Linked DNA regions of Tribolium castaneum. The protein of the gene in region 1 purifies or fractionates together with the protein of each later gene. This does not show direct contact. Links are inferred from orthologs where the notes say so. Each region holds a gene or a part of one and is shown in the gene's direction. Other genes may lie near its edges. The genes, in order: Sh and UPAR/Ly6 domain-containing protein qvr.

The links.
Region 2: the proteins of Sh (region 1) and UPAR/Ly6 domain-containing protein qvr purify together in Drosophila melanogaster (affinity purification with western blotting, with the first as the bait; 3 studies listed by BioGRID). This does not show direct contact. The link is inferred for Tribolium castaneum from reciprocal best matches to the Drosophila melanogaster genes Sh and qvr.

What each region holds. Positions count from the first base shown.
Region 1 is NC_087394.1:28,473,372-28,477,199, reverse strand, and holds part of Sh (potassium voltage-gated channel protein Shaker), read left to right. Parts: intron 1-3,075; coding exon 3,076-3,205; intron 3,206-3,251; coding exon of another isoform or gene 3,252-3,388; intron 3,389-3,828.
Region 2 is NC_087396.1:21,876,028-21,880,446, forward strand, and holds the start of UPAR/Ly6 domain-containing protein qvr, read left to right. Parts: upstream 1-1,421; 5' UTR 1,422-1,759; coding exon 1,760-1,805; intron 1,806-1,871; coding exon of another isoform or gene 1,872-1,913; intron 1,914-2,390; coding exon 2,391-2,438; intron 2,439-4,419. Other genes in the region: uncharacterized protein LOC103313876, read left to right, coding at 355-363, 413-827, 1,076-1,257.

The sequences.
Region 1 (3,828 bases):
GAAAATTGCAGTGGTAAGCCAGATCCAAATGTACGGTAATCAGTTAAGTAGTTTGATTAGCCTGCTTTTGGTGAGATTTTAAAAATTCAATACGAATTTTTTTTTATTTAACTGAATTAAAGAAGGCTGCATTAAGGATTTATTAAAAATACGAATTTTTAACTTAACATTTTCCTACGTATAGTGCGGATTTTCGGGTCACAAGAGTGGTTTAAGCTTAAATTTTTATTGAATAAAAAAATACATTCAGTATTTTTTTTTTCATTTTTTTGATATTTTTGGCGAAGTAGTTGATATTAAGAAATCAGTTCTACTCTTTAACATTTCGAATGGACTTTTTCCCAGAACTGTTGTTGGCAACAAAGGCCACGCGCCCATGTTTCTGTTAGGATTTTTTCAAACTGAGATCATTTATCGCCGCCAAAATCTATTGGTGGACTTTATTATCCGCCAAATGCTCGCCATCATAAACATAGCCAAGTTCTTAATTTAGGGTCGGGCTAACGCCCATGAAATGTCGAATTATCCGCTCGCAATAAATAGTCAAAAAGATTGGCGCTCATTTGGATGTGGTTGCTGGTAGTGCTGCACGGATCTAAATGAAAAATTTACCCGGAACCGAATAACGCTATAGATTCTACACTAAACAAATAATCTGTTTCTTCTGTGTATTGAATGAATTTGAAATCTGCTGATTGTTCAGAATCGATAGCCACACATAAGAAAAACTTTTTTCAAAAAAGTGACGCATGGCCGAGCGGCAGGCACCTCAAAAAACAGACGCTTATTTAATAAGAAGTTTGTCCGGTTTCGATTGTACACGTTTACTGACTGTTTTTTATGTAAAATTTTTTGCTAAATTCGAATATGTAAGACATATTTTGATGTTTACTCGTCATATTTTTCTTCAGGTTAAAGCTAGAGACCTTTTTTTTGCAATAGATTCTCCAGTAAATATAAATTCTAAGTACACAAGCTACAGTTAATTTTTACAAAAGAAAACTAAAAGAATTACAGTTTTTGTGTAACTTATTACATTGTGTAGTAAAATTCTCAAGATGCGAGATGAAATGGTGCTAATAGTTTAGATAAGTTTTTGAGACACGAACGAAGTCGGGGGGCTTTTTCATTAAAAAGTGATTTACTTGTCACATGTAGAATTCAACTTGTATTCCAAGACAATTATCGCATAATCGTAAAATTATTTTTTTTAAATATTAATAATACATAATCGTTTTTCACATGTTCACTAAAGTGATCATACCTGAAGGATAGAAGGAATGGGAGAGTGTTCTTTCTTGGGACATTTTTTCATAAAAAAAATTTTTCACATCTTCCGAAATTAATTAATCTATTAACTATGACGAGCATGTTCAGTGTTACTTAATTACTTATAACAGAAAATAACAAAAAAAATTCTTGTACGTTGGGACAACATTAAATGCAAAAAAATGGGACCACGAATAAATAAATAAGAATTCACAAAATATGGAAACATATTTATTAAAACCTACATAAATGACATAAACTGTACTAGGATACAAAATTGGCGCATTCGGCGTTCAAAGTTTAAAGTGTTGGCTTTTTGTAGATGATCTGTCACAAAATCACTTAAAAATTCATCTTCACCACATACTCGTGTTTCATTATTTAGCAGACAAATGTAGGTGAATGCTGTGAACATTGAGCGATTTTTGTTAATAACTTTTTCTTCATTACATAATTTATTTTTTTGATATTTTCTATAAAATAATAAGAAATTAATGTATAACTTACATATTTCAATTTCCACAAAAACACACACAGACATAAAAATAAAATCGTTGTTGTTAAGTCGCAAAATATTAACAACAGCCAGGGTTTCTATGTTTTAAATGCTTAAATATGCTTGCAGAAACCGGGTCTTAAACCTTGTTTAAAACATGTTGTTTTGTTTTCAAAATATTGTTACAAATTCCAACCTCTTATCACAATTCATATACTTTTGCATTTGACAAAAAATTAAAAAACTTGTTCTCAAATAAGGACAAATCAGAAGAAGAACACGATGTATTTTTGTTTATATAAACGTTTATTATTTATTAACATATATCAATAAAAAACAAACAAAATGTTAATACATATTTCTTACTATTAAATGGAAATTAATATAATTATTGCTGGCTGAATTTAATGCCTTAAAAACACTAACAGTTTTGATACTTTCTTAACTCCTAGTCTATTTCTCTGACAAAAATAAACCATTTTTATAGTTGAACACCTTTTTATTAAAACAAAAACTAGGTTTAAAACACTGCTTTAAACAAATAAAATGGTATAAAATTAAAAATAATTTTTTGATTAATTTAAAAAAAACATGTTTTCTAACAACTCTGACAACAGCAGGATTACTTCGTCGAAATGAAAAAGGACACTACCTACCTTTGGAATTATGTTGGACAATTTATGCTTTATGATTATAGATTTGAAAAAATCGAAAATCTGTTACCTGTTTCCAGGCATTTTTGAGTGATTTAGCCCATTCTTGAGTAGTCACCTATTTCCAAAAAAATATTTATTTATGACAGAGAAACTCAAAAGTTAGGAACAGAACTAAAGTGTGTAATTTTAACCAATTTCAAGCGATTTAATTAGTAAATAAACTGTTTTTCTTTTGACTTGACAATTATTCACCGTTTTTGGCCGTTCGGCTGTTTGTAACAGAAAAAATAAACTGCAAATTAAGAGTAGTCGGACGACGTGGCGCTTGACCGTGAGAGCACTGGAGCTAGTGATTACTGATTACAAAGGGAAGATGTGACGATAAAAACACCAAAATTTGCTATATTTTTAAGATTTTAATTCAGCTAAAAATTTTACATCAGAAGATATCAGTTTTTAAAAAACGTGTGTCGTACGGTCATGTTGGTTTTGGGCAGCTTGTTCCCGGCCTAGCATGAATTTGAAATAGTTGCGTTTCCGTGCAGCACTAGTTGGTGGCACCGCTGTGCGTGATGTGGTGGTGATGGTGGTGTCCATCGGCAACTGACTCGGACCTCCCGGCCTCCTCTGGCCTCCTCCTTCTGTCTGTTGCAGGCGTGGTCCTTTTCTCGAGCATCGTCTACTTCGCGGAGGCGGGCGCCGAGCAGTCGTTCTTCAAGTCGATCCCGGACGCGTTCTGGTGGGCCGTGGTGACCATGACCACCGTGGGCTACGGCGACATGAGGTACAGTAGCGCACAGAGCCCGACTCACCCCTCCTCCTCCTTGCAGGTGTCGTGCTCTTCTCGAGCGCCGTCTACTTCGCTGAAGCGGGCTCCGAGAATTCCTTCTTCAAGTCCATCCCAGACGCGTTCTGGTGGGCAGTGGTCACCATGACGACTGTGGGCTACGGCGACATGACGTATGATGTACACACCTAATTCAGATTTAGTTGCCTCCACCGTAGCTAAACACACAAAGAGATTCGAGACCACGAGAAAATTCTTTGCTCCGAGGACGCGTCCAACGCCGCCCGGGCCCCCATCAAACCCTTGATGTCGTGACGCTCGATGTGTGCTCGATGTTGCTTGTCTCATAGGCCACTCAATCGCACCAAGTGCACAAACCCAATTCACTAAGAAACCACCAATGAAACCAGATGCGAATTCCAAAAGGCGTTCGCGAAAAAAAAATACAAAAATATTTAAATTAAAAAAAAGAGTTTAATTTAACGCTACATATTTGTCTGGTACGGAATAGCTTACATATCCTGCTGAACGCGCCAATTATTTTTTTATTATTTTATTAAAAATATTAAAAGGCCATAAGACATATACCATAAAATAAATTCAGGATATTTAGAAAATAG
Region 2 (4,419 bases), on another chromosome or scaffold:
AAATTTGTTTTATTATTACCCAAAATTTGAAACTGGCTCCAAATAATTAAGTCTCAGTGTTGCCAATAAAATATTACAATTAAGGCAACTAAAAAATTAAATTAAATAAGGAATAAACGACATAAAACGACAGTACAATACGTCTTATTAATTTTTTCCCCCGAATCCAAACAACAAAAAAATGAAACATCGTAAACGGCGTTTGAAACCTCAAGGTCACACGTGTTATCATAGTTTTATCAAAAAGTTGGTTATTGAAATTGCTCGGCGTGTTCATTCAGTTAGTAAATCATTTGATAACCACCAAACTGTCAAGGTTGTGTTTTAGGTTATAAACCGGGGCTTCCCATAAACATGGGCGAGGTTGGTTTGATAATTTTACCATTTCTGTTCCCATTTTCGGCAATTATAGGACGAAATAAACATCGACATTTTGCGACTTCATGGTTACACGTCTGAGGGGGACAGTGATGACGATGATGGGGGAAAAACCGAACTCGACGATTTCTATTATTATCACAAGCCACAACCCATCGACATAGACCCAAGCAGAGACAAGATAATTAAAGTTGGAGTAACGAAAATATCGAAAAACCAATTGAGAAGATTGAGGAAAAAATTTGCTAATGATGGTGTGACCAATCAAAGTGAATTTGGGACTACTGAGACTGTTAATTCGACTGAAGGTGGCAGTACTGATTCACAACTATTGACCAAAAGTCAGAAAAAACGACTAAGAAAGAAGAAGAAAAAATTAACGACACAAAATGCAGAAAAAGTGCAAAAAAACCCTGATGATGGAGCGACGAAACGAGACGTCCCCAAAGGTTGTTTCCTTAGTATGTTAGAGTGTTCAACTTCTTGCCCTTACCTTATCTATTGTGATTCTTCCAACTCGAGAAAGTTTCTCTTGTTTAGGCAAATGTATCTTAATGGCGATATTCCCAATAATTTGAGAATAAAAAACCGAAAAAAAATGAGACAAATGAAACAATCAGTTTTAGATAATTAAAATTATTGATACAAACATTAATTGCAGTAAAAATAAAATTGATTGAAATTTATTAAATTTCAGATATGGCTCAATTTCAGAAGAAAGGGAGAAGTTCGGTTGAATTGCCTCTTTTGTGGCTTCAAAATTGTTGTGATTTGAGGAGTGTTACTGTAATTTTAATTGTCATTATCTTGCAAAAAGTGCCTTATCTTTGCTATTTCCTTTTTTTTTATTCCTTTATTTTCTTTGTGGTAACATATTGAGGGTTTTGTATTTTAAATAAATTTTGATAGTAAAATTCTGTTTTATTCATCACATTTCCGACGTGAAACAGCACTTGGCATCAAAATAATCTAAAAATACCCAAAAGGTAAAAAATCGTTTGATCAATTGTTGCAATTCTGGGGGAATTTCGCTTCAGACATGCGTACCTGAGTCGTCCTGCGCAGGCTTTTATTCGAAACTCGGTTTTCGCGATTTTTTCACTTGAAAAGTCCTGTTTTCACACAAATCCACTCGGCATCGCTTCGAGGACACGAAATGCGGTTTATTTTTAAGTGGTAAAGAATAGAGTCGGTGGAAAAACGCATAAATAAAGCTTGGGAGTTAAAGAGAGATAGATATGCGAGGTAGATCAATATAATTTGAGGAGCACGGCAGAGAAATGGACACGAACCGGGAACGAAATCAAAATAACCGAGTTATCGAAATTCGAATACGATAGTGATGAGAGTGTGGTGCTTTTAGGACTTTGAATTAGCGAAAATGTCTTTCAGGAAGACTAGAATCGAGTACGTCTTGGCAATTATAGGTAATGTTGCTTGGTTTTGATCGCTTAAGTGACAGGAATAGGACTAATCAGGGTAGTTTATTGCAGTTTTTTTTGTTAATTTTGCAAGTTGCCAGTGGAGCTGTGCTCGTGAGTAAACTTTTGGAAGGTGGTTGCAATAACGCTATTAATTTGGTGTTGGTGTTGTCAGGGTTTTTGAGATAAAGATTTCACAAATCCAATTAGTGATGCGCTAGGGACGGGTTAATTATGTTTGGTGTTTATTTTTATAAAAAATATTTAGAGAAAGTTTCATTTATTAATTTGTAAAAATAGACGCGTATTGAGGTTTATAACGTGCCAAATATTATTAATATAGGAAGATTAATCTCTCGGAAATTTTTATGTAAAAAACGCGAAATTAAAAATATCTGCTCGAAGCCGGATGTTGCATTTGATTTTCTGATGTGTTGGAAACAGGTTTCAGTTGATCTGAAAACTTGTCCTGAAATTTTACAAGGAAAAAAAACAATAATAAATTTTGAAACTTTACAACAATAACCCTATTCCTGTAGATTTTTGCCAATTTTTAAATTACTAACCACTTAATATTGTTTATGTTTTCAGTGATAGTATTGCTAGCAATAACAAGAGTTATTAATGCGGAATGTCAAAGTAAGTTTGTATTTTAACATTTTTTTTTGATGTTTGGTTTGAAAAAATGGTTTTCACACACAAAAATTGTAATTTCGTCGACTATTACAAGATTTTTGAAGTTACAAGCGTGTTAGTTTTGTAAAATAATTGCTTAAAAAAGTGAACTATGTAAAAAATCGCCAATAAATTAGACCCAAATTGGTGTAACATTTTTGCTTTTTTCGAATATTAATTTAAGCACGTTTTCGTTTAAGCACTGTTTTTTTGTATACTTAAAAATACTTAAAGTGGCTAAAAAACGACAAATTAGGTCAGAATAAATAGCATTTTACCATGTTGTACCTAATTTGGTCCGATTTATAAATGAAATTACTTCAAAAATAACCCAAAAATTAAGAAATTTTGACAAAAATTAATACCTTATTTAAGCCTTTACTCACCTTTCTGAACTGTATTTTTGAAAAATTTTGAAAAACTAACAAAAAAAACAGAAAATTACGTTGCGAATTACATTATTTTTGCATTTTCAAGAACAAAATTTCGTAAAAACTATTCGAAAAATCATGAAATTAAGTCAAAAACAATGTTATTTTTGCCTTTTTCAAACATTTAAACACATGTTTTTGAAATAAAAAATTAATTGTTTTGAAAAATCGGGCGTAAATTGAAGAAAAATAAACAAATTAGGTCAGAATAGAAAATAGTTTAGCTAGTTTCGCTTGATTTAGTTTGTGAATTTAGTGATTTTCGACTTATTTTTGACGTAATTGTGATCAGAAACACAATTACGTCAAGAATAAGGCAAAAATCATTAAATTTAGTCAAACATCGTATCAGTTTTACCGTTTTTAAAACATTTTTGAACTAAAATATTAGGCTTTTTTGAAGAATTTCGCTAAAACAAACCAAAAAAAAACAATTTAATAATAATTTCCAGTTAGTTTTTGAGTTATGAATTTTTTATTGAATAAAATTTTCCACTATAGAAATTGCCTATGTTAATTTTTTGCAAAAAATTTTAACATGTCAGATCTCGTTGACAGTTTTTATAACCAAAAAAAAAAAAAAACAAAAAAAACACAAAATTACGTTAATTTCAAGTGTTTTTAGAACCTCCAAAGCTAAAAATTTTGTTAAAACAAGGAAAATTTTCTAAATTAGGCTTATATGATGTGCTATTTAGTTACTTTTGCATTTTCAAACCTTCAAGCACGTTTTTGAAGTAAAAACTAAATTGTTTTTAAAACATTTTAGCTTGTTTTGCTTGATTAGTTCGTTTTTTGATCAAAATTACGTCGAAACCCGCAAAAATTCCATCAGTTTCACCATTTTTTAGACTTTATACACCTTTTTGAACTAAAATCTCAGGGTTTTTATAAAAAATGTCACTAAAACAAACCCAAAAATCGCGAAATTACTGGACAATAATTATTATGTTGGTACCTATGAGCACATTATTTCAGGTGTTTTACCTTTATTTTTCATTAAAATTATACAAAATTTCGTAAAAACTATTCGAAAAATCATGAAATTAAGTCAAAAACAATGTTATTTTTGCCTTTTTCAAACATTTAAACACATGTTTTTGAAATAAAAAATTAATTGTTTTGAAAAATTGGGCGTAAATTGAAGAAAAATAAAAAAATTAGGTCAGAATAGAAAATAGTTTAGCTAGTTTTGCTTGATTTAGTTTGTGAATTTAGTGATTTTCGACTTATTTTTGACGTAATTGTGATCAGAAACACAATTACGTCAAGAATAAGGCAAAAATCATTAAATTTAGTCAAACATCGTATCAGTTTTACCGTTTTAAAAACATTTTTGAACTAAAATATTAGGCTTTTTTGAAGAATTTCGCTAGAACAAACCAAAAAAAAAACAAAAAACAAAATTACGTTAATTTCCAGTTAGTTTTTGAGTTATGAATTTTTTATTGAATAAAATTTTTCTCTATAGAAATTGCCTATGTTAATTTTTTGCAAAAAATTTTAACATGTCA